Linked DNA regions of Sus scrofa. The protein of the gene in region 1 purifies or fractionates together with the protein of each later gene. This does not show direct contact. Links are inferred from orthologs where the notes say so. Each region holds a gene or a part of one and is shown on either strand. Other genes may lie near its edges.

The links.
Region 2: the proteins of EZH2 (region 1) and SMARCA1 purify together in Homo sapiens (affinity purification with mass spectrometry, with the first as the bait; 3 studies listed by BioGRID). This does not show direct contact. The link is inferred for Sus scrofa from reciprocal best matches to the Homo sapiens genes EZH2 and SMARCA1.
Region 3: the proteins of EZH2 (region 1) and PHF19 purify together in Homo sapiens (affinity purification with mass spectrometry; 10 studies listed by BioGRID and IntAct, counting the BioPlex papers as one, with this or other methods). This does not show direct contact. The link is inferred for Sus scrofa from reciprocal best matches to the Homo sapiens genes EZH2 and PHF19.
Region 4: the proteins of EZH2 (region 1) and ARID1A purify together in Homo sapiens (affinity purification with mass spectrometry; 3 studies listed by BioGRID, with this or other methods). This does not show direct contact. The link is inferred for Sus scrofa from reciprocal best matches to the Homo sapiens genes EZH2 and ARID1A.
Region 5: the proteins of EZH2 (region 1) and PABPC4 purify together in Homo sapiens (affinity purification with mass spectrometry, with the first as the bait; 3 studies listed by BioGRID). This does not show direct contact. The link is inferred for Sus scrofa from reciprocal best matches to the Homo sapiens genes EZH2 and PABPC4.
Region 6: the proteins of EZH2 (region 1) and HMGA1 purify together in Homo sapiens (affinity purification with mass spectrometry; 3 studies listed by BioGRID and IntAct, with this or other methods). This does not show direct contact. The link is inferred for Sus scrofa from reciprocal best matches to the Homo sapiens genes EZH2 and HMGA1.
Region 7: the proteins of EZH2 (region 1) and CHD4 purify together in Homo sapiens (affinity purification with mass spectrometry; 5 studies listed by BioGRID, with this or other methods). This does not show direct contact. The link is inferred for Sus scrofa from reciprocal best matches to the Homo sapiens genes EZH2 and CHD4.

The regions. Positions count from the first base shown.
Region 1 is NC_010451.4:109,426,516-109,430,015, reverse strand, and holds part of EZH2 (histone-lysine N-methyltransferase EZH2), read right to left. Parts: intron 1,177-3,500; coding exon 1,056-1,176; intron 434-1,055; coding exon 293-433; intron 1-292. UniProt on the Homo sapiens protein: Polycomb group (PcG) protein. Catalytic subunit of the PRC2/EED-EZH2 complex, which methylates 'Lys-9' (H3K9me) and 'Lys-27' (H3K27me) of histone H3, leading to transcriptional repression of the affected target gene.
Region 2 is NC_010461.5:106,077,927-106,081,426, forward strand, and holds part of SMARCA1 (probable global transcription activator SNF2L1), read right to left. Parts: intron 3,006-3,500; coding exon 2,857-3,005; intron 1-2,856.
Region 3 is NC_010443.5:260,898,962-260,902,776, forward strand, and holds the end of PHF19 (PHD finger protein 19), read right to left. Parts: intron 2,928-3,815; coding exon 2,585-2,927; 3' UTR 501-2,584; downstream 1-500.
Region 4 is NC_010448.4:84,048,488-84,052,528, reverse strand, and holds the start of ARID1A (AT-rich interactive domain-containing protein 1A), read right to left. Parts: upstream 2,801-4,041; 5' UTR 2,734-2,800; coding exon 1,594-2,733; intron 1-1,593. UniProt on the Homo sapiens protein: Involved in transcriptional activation and repression of select genes by chromatin remodeling (alteration of DNA-nucleosome topology).
Region 5 is NC_010448.4:95,396,651-95,400,770, reverse strand, and holds the start of PABPC4 (polyadenylate-binding protein 4), read left to right. Parts: upstream 1-1,320; 5' UTR 1,321-2,281; coding exon 2,282-2,474; intron 2,475-4,120.
Region 6 is NC_010449.5:30,319,191-30,323,205, reverse strand, and holds the start of HMGA1 (high mobility group protein HMG-I/HMG-Y), read right to left. Parts: upstream 2,801-4,015; 5' UTR 2,708-2,800; intron 2,461-2,707; 5' UTR 2,353-2,460; intron 1-2,352. UniProt on the Homo sapiens protein: HMG-I/Y bind preferentially to the minor groove of A+T rich regions in double-stranded DNA. It is suggested that these proteins could function in nucleosome phasing and in the 3'-end processing of mRNA transcripts.
Region 7 is NC_010447.5:64,102,627-64,105,712, reverse strand, and holds the end of CHD4 (chromodomain-helicase-DNA-binding protein 4), read right to left. Parts: intron 2,382-3,086; coding exon 2,186-2,381; intron 1,414-2,185; coding exon 1,250-1,413; intron 1,067-1,249; coding exon 1,049-1,066; 3' UTR 501-1,048; downstream 1-500. UniProt on the Homo sapiens protein: ATP-dependent chromatin-remodeling factor that binds and distorts nucleosomal DNA. Acts as a component of the histone deacetylase NuRD complex which participates in the remodeling of chromatin.

The DNA.
Region 1 (3,500 bases):
GATGAGCATACTACTTGTACATCATCAAATGATCAATACATTGCATATATAATGATTATGATGACTGTCCAGGGAAACCCACAACTCCTATGTCCTTTCGCTAGCCAAGGGAAATAAGGATGTAGAAGTGCAGGATTAAATGCTACAAAAAATATCCTAATTTTGATTATCCTACCACTGAGGTGATATTTAACCAAAAAAATTTTAAAAAAAGGACGGAAGGTTTATCTGTGTTCCACGGTTTTTGAAAAATGCTCTAATGGCTGCACACAAACCTAACAGATAGACGTACCTTCTCGGTTCTCCTCTAGATCTTTCTGCTTTTCTTCTCTTTCATCAGGATCATCTCCATCATCGTCATCATCATCGTCATTGTATTGACCAAGAGCATTCACCAGCTCCACAAAAATTTCATCATTTATAAACCCACATTCTGAAATTCATCAGGTCAAGTATCAGAAATATACAAGGGTTTTCATGTTCCTTTTCTACTTTGGTAGAAACAGCTGGAGCCTACCAATTAGCACTATAACATTAATATTAAAGTGTAGGGGCAAGATCATTTTCAGGACTGCATTGAGGCAAAGTAAGAAGTAGAATTTAACAACACTTTTCATTTTCACAAGTTTTCAGAGCCTGCTACAACAGCCTATTTCTCTAGAACCTAACTATGGCCTTTTTTCTCCAAACAATGTATCTTGACAGACCTTGCTGTCTATTTGCTCATGATGGTAACGGATGAGGAGGTTACACATCTGACCCTCCTGCCAGGCACTTTAACAGGGTTCTTCAGTTAAATTACAGAAGCTGTGACTCTATTAGCAGAATTTCAGGTCCTGCAAGGTGCCTAGTCAGGAAGGTATTTTTGAGCATGTCACATAAACAAAGCCCTATTCCTAATTAATTTTATTGCTAAGGAATCTTAGGCTGGCAAACCCAGGACAGTCCAGCAATTTTAATATTAAAAAAAATCTTTTTCATAACTACATTTCCCCCAAAAAATCAAAATATCAATTCTTTGACCCCTTTTCCAAGGGAATAAACACAATACTCACCTCTATCCCCATGTACTTTCCCATCATAGTTTTTAATTAGTTCTTCAATAAAAGTCCCATCCTGGTCTAAAACTTCATCCCCCATATAAGGAATGTTATGTAAAACAGTTTCATCTTCTACCTAAAAGTAAAAAAAATAGATTTAAACAGCAGGCTTATCTTAAGTATCAAAAAATTTTTAAGGGAAAATGTAATATAACTAAAATACAATAACATTTTTTCATAAGTAGATGTCTGTACCCAGTACTTCAGAGCTAAAAATAGACAACAAACTTTAAAAGCTACAAATGAAAGGCCCCCCCTCATCAATAAGCATATCTGAGAAAACAAACTGTTTACAGGTGAAAAAGTTTTAAGAAAAAATATTGTATTACCTAATGTAGTATGTCATCAATCATTACAATCATTATTTTATGTACCTCTAAGAAATGAAAAAATGCTGCAAATTACAATATGACCCATCATCAATTCTTAGATACATTTTTATTTAAAAGTGTCTCTGGAGTTCCCATTGTGGCTCAGGGAATTAAGAACCCAACAAATATCCATGAGGATGCGGGTTCGATCCCTGGCCTCAGTGGGTTAAAGATCCAGCGTTGCCGTGAGCTGTGGTGGAGGTCACAAACATGGCTGGGATCTGGCACTGCTGTGGCTGCGGCTGGCAGCTGCAGCTCCAATTTGACCCCTAGCCTGGAAACTTCCATATGCCACAGATATGGCCCTAAAAAAGCCAAAAAAAAAAAAAAATTGTCTTAGGATCAATGAAACATAACTAAATCAACTAAAAATAACCATACAAAAAAAGAAAAAAAAAAAAAAAAAAGGAGTTCCCACTATGGTGCAGTGGGTTAAGAATCCGAGTCCCTCCAAGTCCCTGCGGAGGCCTGGGTTCAATCCCCTGCTTGGCACATTGGTTTAAGGGATCTGGCATTGCTGCAGATGTGGCATAAGCACAGATGCAGCTTGGATTCAATCCCTGGCCGGGGAACTTCCATATGCGTGGATGCGGCCATAAAAGTAATAATAATTCTAGGAGTTCCCATCGTGGCTCAGGGGTTAATGAACTCGAGTAGGATCCATGAGGACATGGGTTTGATCCCTGGCCTCACTCAATGAGTTAAGGATCTGGCATTGCCGTGAGCTGTGGTGTAGATCGCAGATGCGGCTCCGACTCGACTCCTGGCCTGGAAATGTCCATATGTCGCAGGTGCAGCCGTAAAAAGACAAAAATAATAATTTTTTTAAAAAGAAAAAAAAGCTAACATTAAGTAAGGATCTCCAAACTTCACTTGACGATCTTATTCATAAGAATCATTTAATATAATAAAATTCTAGAAATGTAAAACCAAGTATTGATGGTCCATTAGAGTTTATGTCAGGGAGTTCCTGTTGTGGCTCAGCAGAAACAAATCTGACTAGTATCCATGAGTTTGCAGGTTTGATCCCTGGTCTTGCTCAGTGAGTTAAAGATCTAGCATTGCTGTGAGCTATGGTATAGGTTTCAGACACAGCTCAGATTAGACCCCTAGCCTGGAAACTTCCACATGCCACAGGCGTGGCCCTAAAAAGCAAATAAATAAATAAAGTTTATGTCAAAAGAATTTACTCCTATTCATAAAACAATCCACAGCAACAAAATATTTCAATACTAAGATAAACAAGATTAATATCACAACTGCTAGTGGTAATATAATAAAGATGACAGATGAGTTTATATCAAGGTTTGGAAGACAACAGGGAAGAAAGAGGGTAATAGCTTAGCAAAGAAGAGCCAATCATAGAAAAGTTCAGAGAGAACACAGTATTTAAGAAGACCAGGGACAGCAAGCTGACGTTCATTGGGTGAGAGAATTTTCAATGAAGAACTAAAAAGACATTATAGATAATTATAGATAAAGACAAGTTTCTCAAGTCTGTATCTAAATAAGGAGATTAATTTAAAACAAGGATAGATCTGAGTCTTAAGAGGCCTTTAAACGGGGAATTGGTTAAAAACAGAATTTTAGAAAGATAATTCTGATAGACAGAATGGACTGGCTAAGACAGGAGGACATGGCAACTATTTAAAGCATGAGGTGCCCACAGCTGGCCTGCAATCTATGGGAGGAGGGGATACTGAGGAAGGGCCATGAGACACAGAGGGAATTGTCAAGTAGGAGCAAGCAGAAAAGGGTTCGAGAAAAGGGAAAATTTGCAAATAAGCCCTACATATCAAATTTAGGACACCTGCAAAGTACATAAAGATAACAGTACCTCAGACAAACAAGGAAAAGGAAAACTGGGACAAAAAGTACATCTGGGGTATAAAACGAAAATTCAGGGGTTAATATGTTGCCCTATTCAGACTCAAGCTCCTATCCAACTAATGAGTCTCACTGTCATCACATCTCACTTGCACTGATCCCATTTAAACTAGGAAAGTTATTTCCCACACAAACCAAAATC
Region 2 (3,500 bases), on another chromosome or scaffold:
AGGCCAAGGATCGAATCCAAGCCGTAGCTGCTACCTACACCACAGCTACGGCAATGCCTGATCCTTAACCCACTGCACCACAGCAGCAACTCCAGCCCCAAGTATTCTAAATACTTAAATGATTCTTCTGAAGTGTTCTCACTTAGGCTTTCTTTAAAATCTTTTATTATTGAGGATATAGCCATATTATAATTTCTGTGGCATAATTTTAATGGGACAAATGGCTAATGCTAAAATAAAGGCACACTTGGATTAAACAACACATATTGCATGCTAACATGAAACACACACAAGATTGCTCAAAATTCAACATATGATCGCAGATACATGAAAAAGTGCTCAATGTCACTAATCATGGGAAATGCAAATCAAAGCCACAATGAGATATCACCTCGACCTGTTAGAATAGCTATTATCAAAAAGGCAAGAAATAATAAGTGTTGGTGAGGATTTGTAGAAAAGGAAATCCTTATACATTCGGTGGGATTGGAAAACAGTATGGGGGTTCCTTAAAAAATTAAAAATAAAGCTACTGTATGAGGCAGCAATTCCACTCCTGGGTATTAATCTGAAGGAAATCAAGACACGAACTCCCAAAATATACCCGCACCCCCACGTTTGTTGCAGCATTATTTACAACAGCCAAGACATGGAAACAACCTAAGCATCCATCGATGAGTGAATGGATAGAGAAAACGTGGTGTATAATGTATACAGTGAAATACCACTCAGCCGTAAGAGGGAAGGAAATCCTGCCATCTGTGACAACATGGATGGACCTTGAGGTGGTTATGCTAAATAAGTTAGAGGAAGAGAAATACCATATGATCTCACTAATATTTGGAATCTAAAAAGAAAAAAAGAAAACCAAACTCACAGATATAGAGAACAGATCGGTTGGTTGCCAGGAGTGGGGTGCAGGTGAATAGTTATAAAATAAATAAGTCCTGGGGATATACTGTAAATATATGGATGTGGTACATATGAATATATTTATATATATATATATATATATCATCAGAAACAAAAAATAGTCTGAAAGTAAAAATTCAACCAATTTACAGAAAATACAGCAAATAAGTGACATACATGATAAAATACCCCATGGGGATGGAAGGAGCAAAATCCAAACTGTGAGCAACTCGGAAGGCAAACAATCTAGTTCCTTCACCAAATAAATTACAAGGGAAATAATATATAAACGGACGAAGAACCTACAGGTTAAAAAAGATACAGGAGTTCCTGTGGCTCAGGCGGGTTAAGAACCTGACTAGTATCCACAAGGAAGCAGGTTTGATCCCTAATCTCACTCAGCAGGTTAAGGATCTGGCATTGCTGCAAGCTGCAGCATAGGTCGCAGACACGGCTCCGATCCAGTATTGCTGTGGCTATGGCGTAGGCCAGCAGCTGCAGCTCCAATTCAACCCCTGGCCTGGGAATTTCCATATGCAGCAAGTGAAGCCCTAAAAAAAATCAAAAATCAAAAATAAATTAAAAAGATACAGATAACGTATCCACCAATGGCAATGTATGGACCCTACATATAGCCCTATTTTTTTAAAAGCAAGCTACTTCTGAGATAACTGGAAATCTGAATACCAACTGGAATTTGATGTTAAAGAATTACTGGAACTTTTCAGGTGGGAGAGTCCCTTAATGATTGTGTTTCGAAAGTTATTTTTTAGAAATCCATGGAACTGGGGGTGTAAATGGAGCAGGGCTGGTTGATGTTTGTTGGAAATAGTATTAAGTACATGGAGGTTCATCACACTATTCTGTCTACTTTTGCTTAGTTTGAAATTATCCATAATTCGTGAAAAAGGTAAATTCATCACAAAACTGTAATATTCTAAAACAGCTTATTATACTTTAACAAATAATGCTTTAACAAATACAAACATACTTTAACAAATACAAAATATACTTTAACAAATAATTCACAAAATGTTCACAAAAGGTTTTCAGTTAACACAATGTATCAGCAGATAATTTCTAATCCCATGAAAAAAAAAAGTCATAGAAATGCAGTCCTGGATTACCTATTGTGGCTCATTGGGTTAAGAACCCAACTAGTGGAGCTCCCATTGTGGCTCAGTGGTAATGAACTTAACTAGTACCCGTGAGGATGCAGGTTCAATCCCTGGCCCTACTCTGTGGGTTAAGGATCTAGCATTGCCATAAGCTGCAGTGGAGGTCACAGATGCAGCTTAGATCCAGCATTGTGCGTTGCGGCTGTGGCATATGCCGGCAGCTATAGCTCCAATTCAACACCTGAGAATTTCCATATGCCATGGGTACAGCTCTGACAAAAAAAAAAAAAAAAAGGAACCCCCAACTAGCATCCATGAGGTTTGGGTTCAATCCCTGGCCTTACTCAGTAGGTTAAGGGACTGTAATATATGTTGTAACTCTCAGATGCAACACAGATCTGGCATTGCTGTGGCTGTGGCGTAGGCTGGCAGCTACAGCTCCAATTCGACCCCTAGCCTGGGAACTTCCATATGCCACAGGTACAGCCCTAAAAAGAAAAACAAACAAACAAACAAACAAGTGAAGTCCTGATACATGTGATCAAACACAAAATTTATCTGGCTTTTAAGAAGAATAAATACCAACATTAAAAGTGTCAGATATAAGGTCACTCATTTTTAAACTCTGGTTCTTAGTCTTTCTCACCAAAAATTAAACTAAAAAAAAGTAATTACCCTTGTACATAAATCCACAAATTCTTAGGAAGAGCATGAGTCACTTGAAATATGCAGTTTGAAACATGCATTTGAAATAACACAATACAATAATCATGCTGAAGTGTGTTAATTTTAAAGCAATCCATCATGAACTGCCGTTTTAACTAACCTTCCTTTCCCCTCTTTCCAGAAGAGTTGTAATGTCTTCATCTGTCAGCTCACTTTCTTTAGAAGCAAAAACATGGGTGGCTCCATGACGTATCATTTGCAGCATTTCTTCTTTTGCCATCTTGTTAGACTGTTGGTCGATGAGTCTTCCTAACAATAAAAATAAAAGTTGCATATATTCAATGATATACCAAAGAGAGCATAGCATAATAGTTTTATCAGACACTAGTACATTTAACCATAAGTAAAGCTTTAGAACAGAAAATTAGTGAGCTTTCAAGTAAATTTTTAATGAACAACCTTGCAAGGTTTTCTTCTACCATACCTTCTATATCAATATGAATATCCTTCTATAAAATTCAGTTAAGGAGTTCCAGTCATGCCTCAGCAGTTAACGAACCCGACTAGTATCCATAAGGAATTGAGTTCGATCCCTGGCCTCACTCAGTGGGTTAAGGATCTGGCATTGCCATGAGCTGTGGTGTAGACACAGCTCGGATCTGGCGTTGCTGTGGCTATGGTGTAGGGCCAGCAGCTGTAGCTCCACTTAGATTCCTAGCCTGGGAACCTCCATATGCTGCAGGTGCGGCCTTAAGATGACCAAAAAAAAAAAAAAAAAATTCAGTTAAAACACGGAAGGACAGA
Region 3 (3,815 bases), on another chromosome or scaffold:
GCTGAATACAGCAGGGATTCTCTCCTGACATGTGAAGGATTAGGAACTGAAACAAAGGAACCTGACCAAGTGGTGCAGGTTCTGAGCAGGACAGCCGGCCAGGAACGCACTGCAGATTTCTACAGCTGTGTGCCTGTGCCACCACGTCAAGTTTTATATTGCCTCTACTTAGAACCTGACTATAGGAAGATGCTTAAGTTCAGTCCCCATCTTTAACCGCTCTCTGTGGCCCTGAGCTAATGTTTTTTGCCCACACAGGTCAGGTACAGTAGAAGAAAAGTTTCATGTCCTTCCGGCAGTAGGGGTAAGAATGTTGCTGAGAGAATGTGGGTAGGTGGGGGTAGAAGTGGCACAGTAGCTAGCCAGAGAGAGGATGGGCCTGCCATGCTCCTCACCTTCCAGGAAACTGGAGCTAATTCCTCCTCCTGGTACCCAACAACTGATAGTTCACTAGGGGAATGACAGGCAGTTTTTTAGAGGAAGCCTTTTAAAATTGTAAATCAGACACATTAATTATAATTTTAATATAACAAATGTTATTAGAAGCAGCAATTCAAAACGATAAATCTTTTCAAAGGTGCACAGGGTTATGATAAGGTCAGTTGGCAGTAATGCAGCTATTATCAGGTATGAACAAAATGCTGGGGTGTGGTGGGGTCAGGGTGACCTTGCCAGGCCTTATGCAGACCTCCACGTGGGGAAGACACTGTCTTCCTCCTTCTCTTCAAGCCCAGAGCCTCTGAAGCCTGCTTCAACAAGCTGTGCTCATCCTACACTTCCTCAGAAGCCTGGAAAGCAGGCCTGGGAGGTTGCTGTGCTGTTGAGCCAGGCAGGAGGCCACTGGGTGGATCTGATCCCACACCCCAGCTGGGCTGGGGGCTAGCTTCTCAGCTCCCTTCCACTTGGCTCCAGATGGGGGGCTTCAGTGGCAGCAGCTGGGGGGCTGAGAAGGGAGAGAACTGGGCCCAATCAGCTTATCCCTGCCTGGACCATGCTGGGGAGCAGAGGGAAGTGGGGGGGCTGTGTAGAGGAAGTGAGGTCCCAGTTGAAAGGCACTGTTTGAGCTGAGGTTTGAGGCAAGGGGCACCTGAGCTATTTCAGGGACCCCTTGGATGCTCAGAGATGGGGGGGGGGTCAGCCAAATAATGGAGAAAAAAAAAAAAAAAGCTCCAGGCCTGTTCCCACCCCTTGTTCATCCACCTTCACCTTGCAGCTGGCAGCCTCCAGAACCCAGCCAAGCTGGTCCCCATCTGGCACATCCTCCCCTAGTCAAGGCACTTCTTTCCATTTTCAAATCAATTGAATCAGTTTCTAATACCTCTGGAAGCAGCAAAAAATCAGGGGTCTCCTCCCCCTCCCAGTTTTGGTCTTCCTACACATGGGTCTGAGTTTTAATGTCAGTTCTAAGAACTGTTTATACTCCTACTAACAAAGACTTCCCTTTGAGGGGACTGAGTGACTCAAGCCCTTAAAAAAAAAATCCTAACCTGCCCCCAAAAATGATTGTCAGTTTCAGGGCGGGGCAGGGGAATAAGGAAGAGGGTAAGAGTCCCCTGTGCTTCCCTCTAGGGTCAAAGCTGGTTCACGGGCAGGAGCCAGACTTTCACATTTAGTTATAGCACATGGCCCTAGGAGAGGGCCAAAGGAAAACCAGGGGCAGGAGCCAGGCTGGCACTCAAAGGAATGTGGGGTTATGTGTGTGGTGTGTATGCACCTGGAGGTGAAAACACACACCTGGTTGGAAGTTGGTGTGTGTGTTGCTGGGGTCTGGGGGTTGGAGGCAGAGGAGACAGTCTCAGGTGTAGCAGGACAAGCTCCCTTTCATTCTACTTCCTCTCAGCCCTCAGGTTTGCAAGCTCAGGGCCAGCCTCACGTAACAAGGGATGTAGCAGGAGGGGGGAGAACTTTTGTGGATCTCGGAAGCTGACAACCACAGCCTTCGTTTTTAAGTCTTAATAACGGGGCTCTGGTGCTGGTGCCTCCTGATCACTCAGAACCTGAGGTCTCAGAGTCTCTGCCACACCGCCTCCAGAGGCCTCCCACCCTCACCCCCTCTTCCGCAGGGCAGAGGAGGGACAGGAAAATGGGAAATGGGCTCCTCGGGGCCTCCACTTACCCATCTTCACCCAGCCTTTCTTAGATTTCCGGCGTGTGTGGTCCCTGGGATGGGTCAGGTGTGAAGGACATCCAGTGGAGGGTTGGGTGTATAGACACAACACACCCAAAAGGGGAAAGAGAGGTAAAGGGACACACTGGGGACAAGGACTCAGGCCTCAACAGGCCACAGAGCCAGCAGGACACTAAATCAGAGGAACAGGTAACAGTCTGAGGAAGTGTGTGTAGACACCAAGAAGTAGCCAGCGAGACCTCAGACGCAGGCAGAGGGGGGTGAGCCAGAGGTGGCCAAGAGCAGGAGGGGCACAGCCCGGGCCTGGCAGGGAGGCAGGCAGGCGGGGCTTTGGCCAGGCACTTGCAGCTCTGCCCTGCTTCCCTCCCTCACCCCAGCCTGGAGAGAACTAGGGAGCCTGGGGCTTCCACTGTCTCTCCTTTGGTTTCCAGGGTTCCTGGCATCCCCTGGGGCTGGTCAGTAAGGGGTGGTCCCTTCCCACTCCACCAGGTACTGAACCTTGCCCTCAGGCGTGACCCTGCGAGCCAACACCTGGTACTTCTCCCCACAGGCTAACCGCCCAGCCGCGCCAAAATAGTTGGTGATGGATGACTTGAGGTGGGACAAGGATGAGTCATCTTCACTGATGCTCTCGAACGTGTGGCTGTCGATGCCCTCGTCTGGCCGCTCAGGGCCCGAGGCCCCCTCTGCACTGCTGTCCGAGGGGCAGCATCCACCCAGCTCAGCCGCCCGCCGCTTTGCCCGCAGTGGCATGTATGCTTTGGCTGCCAGCTTCCTCTTGCGGCTGCCCACTGTCCGTCTGCATCAGAAGAGGAAGGGGGAGGAAGACAGGAGTGCAATGGGGTTCTCCTCACAAGTCCCTGTCCCTGGCCACAGATTATCTCACTGGATCCTCACAGCAGCCCTGAGGAGGCTCCCGAGGAGAAACCACCAGCTGGGGGGTGGCAGGGCTGGGTGCAGACCTAGGGGTGTCCACCTCCAAAACCATGTTCTCTTTGAGGAGCTTAGCATCCCACAAGTCCAGAGGCGTGGTTCTCTGCCGCTTGAAGCCATGCGGTGCAGAGGCCCTGCCTGCCCTCTCTGCCCCTCACCTGGACTCCTGTGTCACTAGAGGAGTCACAGGCGTGGCAACCTGGAATGGAGACAGATGTGTGTGTCTCCCCACAACCCCACAGGGACAGAAAGAGGCAGAGGAGGAAGAGAAACACACAAGAAGAGGTATGCATTCACAGATGCTTAGAAACAGAGCCAAAGAGAAAGGGAAATGTAGAGGCAACAGCAGAGACACTTAGAGATAGTTGGAGACAAGACCCTTCAGTAGGCATACTTTTCATCCTACTTTTGCCAGGGCCTCAAGTATCCTACAATACAGGTAAAGGAGCCTCCATCTAGAACTTGTCTGTGTGCTTTGTGCCACCATCCTCCCCATGCTGCCTACGACTACTTATTGCCAAGCAGGCTGTACATACCCTTAGCTAGATCCCCCAGGGATTTCTGGCCCCTCTCCCAGACCCTACACTTTGCAGGATGCCCTCTTCCCTCTATCAGGGTCAGAGGACCTATAGCCAAAGGCACAGACATTGCAAAATCATGGCAAGCAGAGGCCAAGAACCTCAGAATGAAATATCTGAAATTGCCCAGCAAGAAACCACATAACCTGCAAGCAGGCAAAGAGGAGTGGCCTGAA
Region 4 (4,041 bases), on another chromosome or scaffold:
TCTATTTCAAAACTCTAAAACGACCGATGACAAAACAGAAAACTAGTCTTTTTGATATTCCAGGAACAAATGATAAATCTCACCAAACCAAGCCTTTAGGAGATAGTCCCTCTTCTCAAGACCATCTTCATCAAGGAAAGATGTCAGCTTCCCTTTAAATTGAGCTGCTCTCCCAAAGTTCAATTAACAAAAGAAAGTGTTAACAAGATTCAACACGTAAACAAAGAACGAGGCCAGCCTCCCTTAAAACAGAACACTTGAATATGAAATTCTCTCAGAAAGCTTCCAGTTCTCAGAAAGTTTTCTCCTACCCCCTCGGATAAAGATCCCACATTTGCCACTCAATAAGAAGCTCAGTAAAATAATTTCAATTCTGCAAAGCGAACAGGGTCAAAATTACTCAAGACAAACACATCTTCAGAGCCATCAAAGAAGTCATTTATACCATCAGGAAAGTCACAAAACCAAAACAAACAGCAAACCCATTGTAGAGAAAAACTCAGCTAGTGTTCTGACAACACAGAATCTATTTCAGGCTGCATAAAACATAACAAGCAAAATAAATCCAAGGTACAAGCAAAATGCCACTGCCTCCTCTTTTGTTTCAGGCACAATGTAACAAGGGCAGCCTGTCTGGGGCTCTGCTCCTGCTGATACAGTATTGCTGCTTAAACCTCCCTCCTCAAGGTCACAGCCAATTTCAGCTCTGGAATAAAAAGCAGATAGTGGCAGCGATGGTTTGGGTTATCACTGGCAGAAAAGCAGAGTGTAAAAGTTTATGAGCTCATCAGGATTGTTGTACCATTACATCAGAGGCAATTATAAATGGCCAAGAGCAGGAGATGGGGAGCCAATCAGATCACAGATAGGATGTCAACCTAAGACCAACTGTCTCCTGGCTTTGACAGAAGGATTTTACCTCCATAATTCAAATCCCAAACCAAAGCAATCTGCACTTACTACTCCAATCACTCAGCTGTTTACCAGCACTTCCAGGGAGAAGCCCAGGCCACTGGGCGGACAGAGACTAAGACAGGAGACGGCCCGGGCTGCCCTGGGTGAACCGCAGCCGGCCTCTAGCTGCCCCCAAGCAGGCCCCTGCCCAACCTCGAGGTCCCCCGAGCCCGAGGGGCCCCTCCTCGAAAGCACACTTAGGGGACGGCCCAGAGGAAGGTGGGGGGGGCGGGCAGAGAAGAGCAGCAGGTGAGCAAGAAACTGTTCACCCAACTCCCGAGCTCCTAGCACTGCCTACACCCTATCCTGACCCCCCAACACCCCCTCACCTCGGGCTGGGCCCTTTCCTGCACACTCTGCCCCGCACCCCCTTGAAGACCCCCGGAGCTGGAAGGGACCAGGGTAGAGGGAGAAGGGAAGCAGACACTTCTGGGAAAGCCCCACACAAAGGCTGAAGGGAGGGAAAGAGAGGAAGGCAGACAGGCAGCCATTTTAAGAGAGAAGAGCCAGACAATGGCAGCTCCCCAGCAGTGGGGGCCTCGGACTGGGGGTAACCCACGGCTCGGGCCTGCTCCCCGCAGCTGCCACCCACTCCCAGGACCCCGTTCGCCCCAGCCCCCTCCCCTCTCAGCCATGTACCTGCGGGGTCCGGGCGAGCGGCTGCCCCCCGCCGCCGCTGCTCCCAGGGCTCATGGGCGCGTGGTGGCTCCTTTGTTGGGCCCCTCCCGAGGCGGCCGCCACAGCCGCGGCAGCAGCAGCAGCCCCCCAGCACTGCGAGGCCATGTCCGCCGGGCCCTTGCCCGCGCCTCCGTCCTGGGGCCCGCCGCCGTAGTCGCCCCCAGGGTAGCCCTGGTAGCCCCGGGCCGAGCTGGGCGACGTGAGCAGTTGGTTGAGGGTGGGGGTGGCGGTGGGTTGGGGGGTTCCCCCTCCGGCCGCTGAGGGGCCGCCTCCCCCCATGGCCCCGAAGCGCTGCTGAGCGAAGGACGAAGACGACGAGGAGGCGGAGGCGCTGGAGGAGGGAGGCGGCTTGGAGCCGGCGGCCGCCGCCGCGCCGGAGCCCGGAGTGCCACCTCTCGGGGAGCTCAGCGCGTAGGCCTGGGGGGGCGGGGGGTAGGCGCTGCGGTTGGGGTAGTAGGAGTTGTACTGGTGGTTGGGGAAGCCGTGGTCGTGCGAGTTCTGCTGGGGCCCCGCGTAGGGCTCCAGGCCCCCGCCGCCGCCGCTCTGCAGCGCTGCCAGGCCAGGGCTTTGTTGTCCGCCATGTTGTTGGTGGAAGACGGCGGCCGCCGCGGCGGCGACGGCAGACGGGCTCCGGCCGTAGGGTTGCCCGAAGCCGTAGGCTGGGGGCGGCAAGGCGGCCGCCGCTGAGTGAGGAGGCGCCCCCACCCCATCGCTGCTGCCGCCACCGCCGCCGCCGGGCGGCTCCGTGAGGTTATTGTTCAGGGCGGGCCTAGGGCCCGCGTTCCCGTTCGAGTTCTTCAGGTCCGGCTCCGCACCGGGCCCGCCGCCGCCACCGCCGGCTCCGCCGCCGCCGCCGCCGCCACCCCCATTGCTCTCGGCCCCGTCCTGCAGCTCCTTTCCCAGTGGCTGCGGCGGCCCCACGGCGGGGCCCTCGCTTTCCTGCCCGGCGGCTGCCTTCATTTCCCCGCGCTCGGCCGCTGCCGCCGCCGCCTCGCCCCCCGCCTCCTCCCGCTGCTGCTGCTCCGCTTTCTTCAGCTCCGAGGGCGGCGGCGGCGGGTTGCCCAGGTTGCTGGCGGCGGCGGGGGCGACCTGCGCGGCCATGATCCCCGCTGTCTCGTCCGCGGAGAGACCCGGCCCTGTCTTCGTCTTCTCCCCCCTCCCACCCCGCCCCGGGGCCGAGTCCCCCGGGCTGCCCTCCCCACCCGCCCGGGCGGGCCTCGCGGGGCTCCGCTGCTGCGCTGCGCTCGCTCGCTCGCTCCTCTCCCCCCCGCCCCGCCGGCTCAGGCTCCGGGCTGGCGGCGGCGGAGGAGGAGGAGGCGGCGGCGGCGGCGGCCGAGGCGCCGGCGGCTCAGCTGCTCCCGGCTCTGTAGGCTCGGGACCCGGCTCTCCCGGCTCATTCCCCCCAAGCCCTTGCCTGGGAATGAGGGGGGCGGTGGAGGCTCCGCTCCCCAGGGCCTGGCCCCGCTGTGACTCTCCGCTTTCTGCTGCCGGAGAAAGGAGGAGGGAGGGAGGGGAGGGAGGGAGGCGAGGGGGAGGGGGGCGGGGAGGGAGGGAGCGGGGGGAGGGGGACCCGGGACGGGCGGGCTTGAGGGCGCGCGGCAGCAGCCCCGGCGCCGGGAGGCAGAGTCGGAGCGTGGGCCGGGCCGGGCGTCCTGCCTCCCCTCCCCGGCCTCGGCGCGGGCTGAGGCTGCTGCGCGGCAGCGGGCGAGCGAGCGGGCGGGCGGCCGGAGTGAGCGGCTAGAGCGCCCCACTCTCCTCCGAGTCCCCCTCACTCCGACACGAGGCTCAGCACTGCCATTTTACCCAGCGCCGTCGCGGCCTCCTGGCAAACCCGGAACGGAGCGCGGAGCGGGCGCAGGCCGTGGAACGGACTCGCTCCCTTCCCCTTACAAAGGAGGAGGGGAGAGAACCAGCCGCGGCGACGGCAGGCCCTCTGCCGCTTTCGCTCGGCAGCGCCGCCGCCGAAGCTTCGGGGAAAACCCGGCCCGGAGCTCACGCCTCTCCGGAGCCTGTGTCGCCTCCCTCCCGGCGTTCCTCCTTCTCCGGGTCGGTCCCTTCCAGGCCGCGCGGAGGTGAGCGGGCAGTGTGAACTTTACTCGCGGCTGCAAAATTGGCCTGAGCCCGAGACCGCGGCCGCCTCGGCCCGGGCCTGACCCCCTGGCAGCCAGCCTGGTCTCTTGGCTGCTACTTAGCACCTCTACAGCACTTTGCTTCTTCAAAGCCTTTTGCAAACCCGCTCCAAAGACCCAGCTGAGCCTTACATTTTTATCCCCTTTGCAACCTGCATGAAATGACAGATCACTGTTTCAGACGTTCAGTTTTCCCACTCCTCTGCCCTCATTAGCTGGTCCTCACAAGGCCCTGGGGGCATGAGGTCCATTATCCCCATTTTACAGAATCTTAAGACTT
Region 5 (4,120 bases), on another chromosome or scaffold:
AGTCAGATTCCTTTCCACTGAGCTGCATGGGAACTCTAGGAGAAATATTTTTAAAATTTAGAGTCTAGACCCTCACTCCTTTTTTTTTTCTTTTTTATCTTTTTGCCATTTCTTGAGTCACTCCTGAGGCATATGGAGGTTCCCATCCTATGGGTCGAATTGGAGCTGTAGCTGCCGGCCTATACCACAGCCACAGCAACACAGGATCCGAGCTGCGTCTGCGACCTACACCACAGCTCATGGCAACACCGGATCCTTAACCCACTGAGCAAGGCCAGGGATCGAACCCTCAACCTCATGATTCCTAGTCAGATTCATTAACCACTGAGCCATAACGGAAACTCTGATCCTCACTCACTTTTACAGAGAAACAGAACTTTTGTTTTGGCCACGCCCTGGCAGCATGTGGACATTCTCAGGCCAGGCATCTAAACTGCCACAGTTGTGATTGGCGCCACAGCTGCCATAATGTCTCATCCTTAACCTACTGCACCATAAGGGAACTTCCCAGGACATTTTTTTTTTTCTTTTTAGGGCCACACCTGTGGCATATGGAAGTTCCCGAGCTAGTGGTCCAAACGGAGTTGTAGCTGCCGGCCTATAACACAGCCACAGCAACACAGGATCTGAGCTGCATCTGACAGCAGCTTGTAGCACAGTTGGATCCTTAACTCATTGAGCAGGCCAGGGACTGAACCCGAATCCCCATTGATACTGGTGGGGTTCCTTACCACTGAGCCACAATGACACTCCCCAGAACATATTTTAACATGAACTAAATTCCAGGGATACCACTACCATGTAAATAGAAGGATGACTGTATTTTGTTTAATTGAAGCTCTCCCAAAATTTGTTCATCTTTCTGGGGAATCCCATCACCAGCTACTACTGCATTGGTAGCTGTCCTATTTGGGATGATTCCATCTTTAGGATCTAGTTTTCTAAAAACTTCAGAAAGTCTTCTTGATTTGGGCCCAATTGTTTACATAGCGGAGCACCTATTACATGACTATAATTTATTTTGTGTCTTCTTTATTTTACAGTTAGGCAAAACATTGATTATAATCATGATGCATGTGAGTGGGTCACACTATCCATGTGTTCTAGTCCCGGAGAGGCGGGTGGCTTACACTCTACCGATTCCACCAGCAGCAGGCAAAGCTACCCTTGGGTCCGGCGGAGGCCCCAGCGGGGCGGTCCTCCGCGCGCCAGGGGTCGCTGTGGCGCCGCGCGGCCGAGCCGGACGCTCTCGCGTGGCCGCCCCGCCTCGGGCCCCCGGGCCGAGTGGGCGGGCACGACTGCGCCCAGGTCGCAAGGCGCCCTTCGACCAGCAGCGCCCGGGGCGGGCGGGTATAAATGGAGCGGTGGCTCCCCCAGCCGCCTCTCTCCGCCCCGGGTCGCCGTAGCCTTCGTCGCTTTCGGGCCTAGCAGCCTGAAGAAAAAAAGAGAAAAAGATAAAAAAAACCCGAAAACGCTTTAAAACCTTAAAAAAAAAAAAAAAAAGAAAAAGGAAAGAAAGAAAGAAAAAAAAGCGAATCCTCCTCGGAGAACCCGCGGGGAAGTCACTTTTGCGCGCTTCCGGCCTGCCCGCCGCCGCACCTGGGCGTCCGTCGGTCCCAGTCCGTCGGTCAGGTGGTGAGCCGCCCGCGCGCCCGCGTCCACGCGCCTCCGCCCGCGCCCGGCCGCGCCGCGTGGCAGCCCCGCGCCCGCCGCCCTCGCCCCCTGCGCCCCGGCCTCCGCGCACCACGTGTCCGCGCTGCCCTTCGCCGGCCCGGCGTGGGAGGCGGCTGCGCGCTCCGGCCGCCCGGGGCTTGCCGAGTCGGCACCGACAAATATTTGGTTTCCCTCGTCCCCGGGCTGCTGTAATCTTAAACCGCCTGGAGCCGGAGGCCTATATTTATAGAGAAACGTGTGTCCCGGAGGCCGCTGTGGGCACCATTGGGTTGCCTCTAGAAGAATTTTTGTAATTTGGAGGGGATTCCCCGTTTTAATTTTTTTGCTTGGGTTGAAATTGGGAGCTTCGGACCAGGACAGCTGAAAATTACAAACTCCCAGGGAGGGCCATATTGTTTTTGAGAGCCTTTTGTCTGCGGTTTGGCAGTCTCCGGGCCGTCCCCGAACTCCTTTCTTGGGCCCTTGGAGCCCACTCCAGCTTCCCTGAGCTTCACTGCCACCTGTGAGCCGCGGCGCGGGCCACGGCTCGGAGCAGAGCCCCTTTTGTCCTGAGCGGGCCCTCTAAGAAGTCCTCCTGGCGGGGCTCGGGGTGGTGGGGGCTGGGGAGATGAACGCTGCGGCCAGCAGCTACCCCATGGCCTCCCTGTACGTGGGTGACCTGCACTCGGACGTCACCGAGGCCATGCTGTACGAAAAGTTCAGTCCTGCGGGGCCTGTGCTGTCCATCCGGGTCTGCCGCGATATGATCACCCGCCGCTCCCTGGGTTATGCCTACGTCAACTTCCAGCAGCCGGCTGACGGTGAGTAGAAGCTGTGGCCACAAATTCGTGGGCTCTGGAGGGACCCTGGGGGTCCTTCTCCATCCAGGTCCCCACCCCCCGTGGAGGGGGCTTTGCGACAGCCCGTGGCCACGGAAGCCATGGTGGGGGACAGGATGCAGGGGGTGGAGAAGACGGATTCCTGGCATCAGATGAATCCCAATCTTGTTTCCACCACTTGCTAACTGGGTGACCTTGGGCTTACAGTTGGGGGGGGGGGTAGGAGCCCAAGGAGGTTGTAAAGGGGACCTGAGGGAAGTTGCTGTCATTCCATGCGTGTGGTGGGGACTGCTCCGTTAGAGACCCTTGCCTGGTCACTGGCTGGGGCTCCTGCAGAAAGAGCAGGATGGATGATTGAAACACAATTCCTTCAAAAATTTGAGGTGGCAAAGCTGCTGCCCCCTCCCCTCACTTTATCCTGGGCTAAGAGTCTTCGATTCTGTGCTGATAAGCAGTCTTTCAGGGCAGGTAGGAAGCAGGGGGACAGTTTTGTGTGTTGGACTTGAGCAGGCACTTGTGCTAGCACTACCAGAACTGCATGTGCCAGGCCAGCTCCCTGGGCTGTGTTTTTGCCACTGGGGTGGAGGACTTCTTTTCCTGGACCAGCCCTGGGCTCTGGAAGAAGGTGTGCAGGTAGTCCCGCGAAGCTCTGTTTGGAAATCTGCTATTTTGGTGGGGATTATCGCCTCACCTGTGAATAGTCCTTTAAAGTTGTCATAACCCTTTTACTTCATCCCATGTGAAGAAACTAGGACTTCTGAGGAGGAAAAGGAGCTACAAAAGGTTGGAGGCTGAGCTGGGACTGGGTGCAGTTCTCTGCCAGCCCTGATTGGGGCCTGAGCCTGGAGCGCGGAGAGGAGAGGTATGCTGCGGGCCTGTTGGGAGTGAGGCCAGAGGAAACCCAATCAGGGCCACACGTGACTCCAGAATAAAAGGGAACAACTGTAGAGACCATCACTGGGAGAAATAAGCCATTCTATGGCAGAGGATCTCCAGGTCTCTATTTTTGTCCCCACTTTGTTCACTGTCCCTGAAGCACAGAGAATGTCACTTGCCCAAGATGCAGTTGAAACCAGAGAATCGGACTTGTTGAAGAGACACCAGGCACTGCTCGGGTCAGTTCAGTGAGCTCTGAGTTGTGTCTGGCCACAGCACAGAGAAGGTGCCTGAGAGCAGCCTTTTTAGGGGGGAGTAGTGGGCACGTTGGCTTGTTGTCTGCCTCCTTGAATCTTCTGCACGAAAGTCCTGTCACTTGGTGATAGTAGCAGAAGCCATTGGTTAGTGTGTCTGCCAACACATACCTCTGCAGGACCTCTCCCTGCTATAAATAAGTGCAGCCAGATTTGTCAGGCTAAGCCGACTTGCCTTGTGCAGCACTGTCTGGAAATAGACCGGAGCTGGGTTGAAATGGGCTCCTTTGCTGCTAATTCATGAAACAGTTTGGGGTCCCAGGCTGGGGCTCGTAGAGTCATCACAAATGAGCCCTTCTGTGTCGGACTTTCCCTGACCTCTCTTCTCACTGAAGGAGCCCCCCTGAGGAAAGTGGGAAAGCTGGTTGGGAAGAGTGAAAAAGGAGATACTCTTCTGGCTGACTGGAGGGGCAGAATTAGGGAGGTGTGTCTGTGTTT
Region 6 (4,015 bases), on another chromosome or scaffold:
TAGAGGCCTGTTTAGGCTTAATCAGCTCTACTAGCGGAGTTTACCTAAAATCTCCCTTGGTTTGGGAGTCTCTTCCAGAGGCTAAGAAAGGACAGTGAGGGTCCTCCCGACTCCAACCCCCATCCCTATCCTCCCAGTTAGCCCCAGTTACAGATAGATGTGTCTTAGGGAGGCCTATGGTCCCACACCTCCTTGATAACCAATCTCTTCCTGGCCTTGGCGAAGGGTGGGCCCAAATGGCTCCACTTCTGAAAACCCTTCAATCTGTCAAACGGGGGGAACGATAATGCACCTGCCTCAACTCCCTCTCCAGACTGCAGGTCAAACCAAGTAGAAGTTAAAAGTTCTTAAACAAGGGAAATCTTCACTCCAATCAAAACGAGAAGGCCAACATTTGAAAATGACTTCTTCCCCCTTTTCAGATTCAGACAATTTCCAATTTTAACCCAATGAGAGGAAAAACCGTTTTTGCAAACTCGTGATTTTCACAGGGCCCAAGGCCCAGATCCTCAAGATTCGAAATGCTCCAGACGGTGAGACTTTGTCTGGTAATTATTCTATTTTATAATATTTCAAGACTTGAAGACCCTTTTAAACAAGGTGGTTGGTGATTTACCCTGCTCCATCATTAGTGGCTTGGCCTGCTCTGTAATTACAGGCAGTGATTAGAATCTTATATTACACCACAGGACCCCCTTCAGAACTAAACATCAAAATTAATCAGCTAAATGAGTGCTGACCTCACATGAGGTCTGCTGAAGGCCCCCTCAGAGGGGGTTCCAGTTGGGCGAAGCCAGCCCCTAATCCCAGCAAGGCTGGGCCGGCCTGCCTGGGGATCCTGGTGGGTGTCCCTGGAAGCTCTTGCATCATCTGGTGCTTCCCCCCACCTCTTGCTGCTGGGGACCCTTTAATCCACTCGCCCCCACCCCAGATGGAGGCTTCCAGGAAACTGAAGGAAGGCCTGAGGCCCTCTCTGGTGAGACCGACAAATGCTCTGTCTCTTCCACCTGTTTCTGAACATCAGAGAGGCCTGGCTTGGTGAAGCCACGTTTAGGGCCCAACCTCGATCCTTCCTTAAATCCTTACTGATTTACATTAAGGCCTTTCCAGCCTCCAGCTTGTCCTCCCTACACACTGTGCTGGCAATGTGGGCTCCACAAATGCCAGGGCCATCTGCAGGAATGACCCTAGGAAACCAGCCTGGAACTACCTTGTTTTCCCCAAAAAAGTAGCCCAGAGAGGGCTGCTGAGTTGCCCAAGGTCACGGAGCAAGTTGGCCAGCAGGATGGAATGGGTTCCCAGCGACACTCCTAGCCCGCCGCTTTCCTCACCCCTCGGGGGGCTGGCTAAGTCCCTGTGGCCCCTGCTCCAGACCTTGGCCCAGGGTGACTCTGCAAGTGTCTGCGCCCGGCGGTTGCAGATGGGCCGGCGGGACGAGGGGCCAGCGCGCGCGGGGGGAGGGGCACAGGCCGCTCTTGCAGGCGCGGGAAATCGGTGCACCCCGACTGCATGCACCGCCACGCGGGTGCACCCGGCCCCACTTCCTGCCAGAGGGGGCACCCAAGCCCGCCTTGGGGCAGGAAACCTGGCGCGCGCAGAGAGGAAGAAAGCCACCACCCTCTGCGCCCTCCCCGCAAAATAAAAGCCCCAGAAAAAAAAAAAATGGAAACGGGGAGTCAAAGGGACTAGTTCCAACAGAGCCCAGCAAAGCAGAGAAACCAGTTTGTGGGGGCGGAGGGCAGGCCGGGCCCTGGGGGCTGAAGAGGCGCGGGCCGGGCCAGAGGTGGGGTCGGGGTGAAGCCCCAACCCCCCTTCCCTACGATTCGGCCTCATCTGCGGAGTAAGGCCGAACTGGAGTTAGGCCGAATTGCGGGGTTCCTGCCTATCCGCCTCACTTCTAGAACTTCCCAAGGCTGCGGGGGGCGCCCGGCCCCCCACTCTCCTGCGGCGCCGCAGCCTGTTCCTCTCCCCGCCCCCAACATCCCGGGCCCCGGCTCGGGCTCGGGCGGGAGCGGCGGCCGCGCGAGGTGCACCGGGCTCTGCCGGGTGCAGAACTCGCGCTCGCCGCAGCCGCGCGCCCCCCCTCCCCCACCGCGCGCCTTTCCCGGGTCCCCGCCCCCCGCAGGGCGCCCGCGGCGCGGGGGAAGGGGTGCGGGCGCCCGCCCCGCGCCGCCGGGCCCAGCCGCCCGCCCCCGCGGCCCTCCCCCGCCGGCGGCTCGCGCAGCCCCGGCCTGGGAATAAAGCCGGAGGCGCGCGCTGCAGCCCCGGGCGGCTCGCAGGAGGGGCGGCGTGCAGCGGGGGCGCGGGCGCCCCCCTCCGCCGCCGCCGCCGCGGGCCCCGGGGACGACTCACCGCGAGCTCGGCCGCCGGCCTGCGGTGCGCGCTCCGGGCTGCCGGGAGCGACGGTGCTGGGCGCTGAGGACCGGCCTGGCTCCGCCGCCGCTGGTAGCAAATGCGGATCTGAAACCGGGAGAGAGAGCAGAGGCGCTCAAGAGACCGCCGCCGCCGCCGCGTGCTCGCCGCCCAGGCCCCCGCGGGGTATTTATATGTCACATCCAGGCAGGAGGACAAAAATATTCCCCCTCCCCCGAAGGATGGCGAGGGGCAGGAAGCTAGGCACGGCCCGTGCGCGGCCTCAATAAATAAATAATTTAATTAAATGATAGATATAAAAAAAAAGAAGCCACCGAAGGGGCCGCGAACTCACGCCTTCTTGGAGCCGCGCCAGGGCCAGAAATAGCCCGGACTCGGAGTCCCAATTAGAGGAGCGCAGCCCCGGCTCAGGGGAGCTTAAAAAGAGCGACCCAGGGGCAGGGGGGACGGGCCCGCCCGCGCCAGCCGTGTCACTGAGGGGGGCGGGACCATGCAAATGAGCCCGGAGATTTAAAAGGGCGGCCGCCAGCCAGCCGCCGTCGCGCGGGTGGGTGCTGACTGCGGGGAGGGGCGTGCGGTGCTGGGCGTCTGGGGGCGGGCGCGCGGGAGGCCTGGGCTGCGAACCCGAGGCCACGGCCCAGTCTTCACGGACCCGGGCCGGGAGACGTGGGGAGCTGTTGAGAGGAATCACCAAGGAGCCCATTGCCGGGGGAGGGCGTCCTCACTCGTGGAAACGGTGTCCCGGGGAGAGTCACCTCTAGGGGCCTGCCGGGCGTGTGGGCCAGGGGCGCGTGGACGTGCGCGGGTGGCAAGGGTGGAGAGAATCGCGCAGGCTGGAGAATTCCGCGGCCTACCCGCTGCCACCTTCGCCCAGATACGCGGCTCCTAGATTTCCCCTGGGCGGACAGGTGTCAGCCTGTGCATTTCGGGGCCAATCCGCGTTTGGCTGGCTGGTGAAATAGGGGCCTTGTGAAATTGACACGTGAAACTTGTGAAATCCAGAGTTTAAATTTTTTAATGGGCCCGAGTGAACCACAATCAAGGTGCAGCCCTAAAAGCGAGGCAAACGATTGGCTCGTTTGCAGGCAAACCTGAAGGAGTCATTCCTTTAGGTGACCCGGATGGTGTTTGGGAGACAAGCGGTCCTACTTGGTGCCCTGGCTCCTTCCGCCGTGACTCATTTTTAAAATAGCGGGAGCCGGTGGTCGCGTGGAAGCGCTTTGAGGGCAGGGACTGGGTCTACGCACGCGGTACCCGCCACGCCTGGCCCGCCCGGCGCAACAAAGACTTGTTGCACGAACGAGAAGGAAACCAAAGTGGGAAGATGGCGGGGAGGGCGGTGGGAGAAGAAAGGGCGCTGTCAGAGGCGCACCCTGCAGGCCGGGCCGGGGGCTCCTCGGGCGCACCTCCCCGCCCCTGATCCCCGAGGCGGCCTTCCACACCTCCCGTGAGGCAGGGAATTGCAACGCGGCCCAGTGACACACGGCTGTGACTCATGTTTTTCTTTGCTCCCCTTCTTCCTCCCGGGTCGGCCGAGGCCCCGGCCCAGCCCCCTCCTCAGGGGGCGAGCCGGCGGCGGAGGGGGAACGCCAGGAAAACCCTGAGCGCGGCGTGGAGGCGGGGTGGGGAACCAGAGGGGCCG
Region 7 (3,086 bases), on another chromosome or scaffold:
TCTCTGCCTTGGTTCCCATACGAGAGGTCGGGAGGACGGCATCTTGTGTTCTCACTTCACACAAACAGAAAACCCAGAGCAGCCTTTCTTGAAATAAACCCTAAGGTGGTGCTTAGCAGCTGTTCAAAACTGCTCCGGCACTTCGCTGGTTTGTCTTCGCAATGTTGCGAGGAAGATTCTCCTTTGATTCTCTACAGCAGACATCTACAGCCTGGAGACGGCCGCGAAGCTGGGAGTCAGGCTTAGGCTGTGAACCCAGGGGGCTCCGGAGCTCCTCGCAGCGTGCAGGTGGTGGCGGCCGGAGCACGAGGGTAGGTGCACAGTCCAGATTTCGTGGAGTCTCAGGACACAAGGAAACCCTTGGTCTTCAGCTGCACTGTCCCAAGGCTCCCGTCGGACACACCCACCTGCACCTACACCCACACTGAACCAGAGCACTAAAATACAAGGAAACTTTTATTTTCAATTTTTGTCAAGAAATTTGCTGTGGTTTTTTATGCTTTTGGTTCTTTTCCTTTTTTTTTTTTTTTTTTTTTCCAACTTTATTTCATTCTAGCCGCTCAGGGGCTGGAGCCGCTGGGTTCCTGGTATTAAAAAGATGCCAACAGAGGTAGCTGTGTCTCGCCCAGGGGCCCGGCCCACTGTGAATACCCCCCAAAAAGGAGAAATGAAAACACAAAATAAACCAACAAAATAAAACCAAAAGGAGGAAGAAATTCAGATCATTTTCTTCAAGCCTGGCGGGAACCCACAACAGTTTGTGTGTAACAGACGTTACAGTGGGGAGAAGCCAGGGCCCAAAAGGCCAGCCCGCCAGCTCCCTGCAGATGGCGCCGGCGCTACTGCTGCATGTCTCTCCAGCAGGAAGGGCACCACTGCCCCTCACTCCCTCCCCTCCCCCAGTGCACTGGGGGCTGTTCCTCTACAGCTTGGAAGATGGGGCAGAAGGGAGGAGAGGGTCTCTCAGGCCCCCAGGGGAGAAGCTGGGCAAGGGAAAGTGAGGAAGGTCACTGCTCAGCGGTGGACGTGGTATCATCCATCTGGATCTTCACTGCTGCTGGGCTACCTAGAGAAAGAGAGAGCCAAGAGGGTCAGAATGTCAGACCCCAGGAACCCTCCTGACCCCAAAGGAACTCACTGGTGGACCAGCCCCACCTGCCCAATGTGTAAAGCCAGGGACAGACAGCAACGTTACAAGTTCCAGAGTGGCTCTGCTGGAACAGATGGCCAGAGGAAAATGGTCCTATACCTGCTGTGGAGTCGGTTCAGGTGCCCGGTTTGCCAGGCGGCTGAGAATGTTACGCTCGGACATCTGTAGCCTCACAGCAACTGGGGGAATTCGGGCAATAGTAGCTGGGAGTCGAGTCACATCGGCTTTCATGTCACTCAGCAGTTCTTCTAGCTGTTTCAGAACTGCATGGGGGGGAAAAAAGGCGGTGAGCCGTGGTGGTCAAGACCTAGGCCCATCTTATAATATGTGGACCGGCTTTCCCATCACTTCTCAATGATCAAGTGACGTGCTGGAGTGCTGTCTTGTCAGTCACCTGACCTGGCTCCACCACGCTCAAATTCCTATTCCTCATATTCCAATTCCAAGTGTCCATGATTCTATGTTTTAAAGTTACCTCTGTCTCTTGATCCCTGTCTCTATCTCCATCACTTTTATTTTTTCTTGACTGTGCCTGCAGCATGCAAAAGCTTCCAGGCCAGGGAGAGAACCATGCCACAGCAGTGACAACACCAAATCTTTAACCACTAGGCCACCAGGGAACTCCGCCACTTCTTAAATAGCTATTCCTATTTCTTTCCTCTCCACTTTTGGAGCTGTCTCCCTCTTCCTTTATAACAGCTGCCTTTTCCTCATTTCACCCTCCACCCCCTCACAATGTCTTACCTTTAATTAGAAACAGGATGTTGAAAGGGGGTCTAGAAAGCACAAGATCGTAAATAACCTGAAGTTACCTCTAAAGTAGCCCAGATAACACTATGTATTATTCTGGGTTGCTCTCCACCTCTCCAAAAAGCTGAGTATATTCAAGAAGTTAAGAGGCAAAGAACTACTGTCCTTGATTGCCTGTGAGATATTAGCTTCCTGAGGAGGAAGGCAAAGCTCCCCAAATGTGTTGGGGAGGGACAGAGAAAGAAGGAGGCTAAGTCAGCAGGAGGCAGGGGAGCCACTGGCTACCTTTGTGCAGGACCGCATTGGCTGGCTTGTTTCCTGCCATTGACTCCTTGGACAGGTGCTGATGACTCTCCGCCAAACACTCCACCTCAGCAAAGCGGGTGTTCAGGGCCATGGAAGGGTGGGAGGGGTCCTCTGACATGTTCAGGTAAGCTGCCCGACGCAGCTGTTCCTCAATCACCAGGGCTTGTTCTAAGAGCTGGACAAGGGATAAAGAGATGGGCATTGGAATGATAATTCACTTGGCTTAATTCTGACGGGCCTCTGAGAACCTGTGAAGAACCTTAGGAATGGCTCCCTCACACCTGAACTGGTGTTCAACACCAATTCAACATTACATTGGCTTTTTTATCCCTCTTTGGTGGTCCAAGTTTTTTAAGTTATCTTACTGATTCACTTTTACACAAAAATGATAAAAACTCAATTTAGAAAATACAGAATGTATAAAGCATCAAAATCACAATTCTACCTCCTAAAAACAGTTAACATTTGATGTGTTTCCTTATATTTATTTTTTTATGTATTAAGATCCTATGTATTTGGAGTTCCCGTCGTGGCGCGGTGGTTAACGAATCCGACTAGGAACCATGAGGTTGCGGGTTTGGTCCCTGCCCTTGCTCCGTGGGTTAATGATCCGGCGTTGCTGTGAGCTGTGGTGTAGGTTGCAGACGCGGCTCGGATCCCGCGTTGCTGGGGCTCTGGCGTAGGCTGGCGGCTACAGCTCCGATTGGACCCCTGGCCTGGGAACCTCCATGTGCTGCGGGAGCGACCCAAAGAAATAGCAAAAGGACAAAAAAATAAAAAATAAAAAAAATAAAATGTATATAAAAAAAAGATCCGGGAGTTCCCGTCGTGGCGCAGTGGTGAACGAATCCGACTAGGAACCATGAGGTTGCGGGTTCGG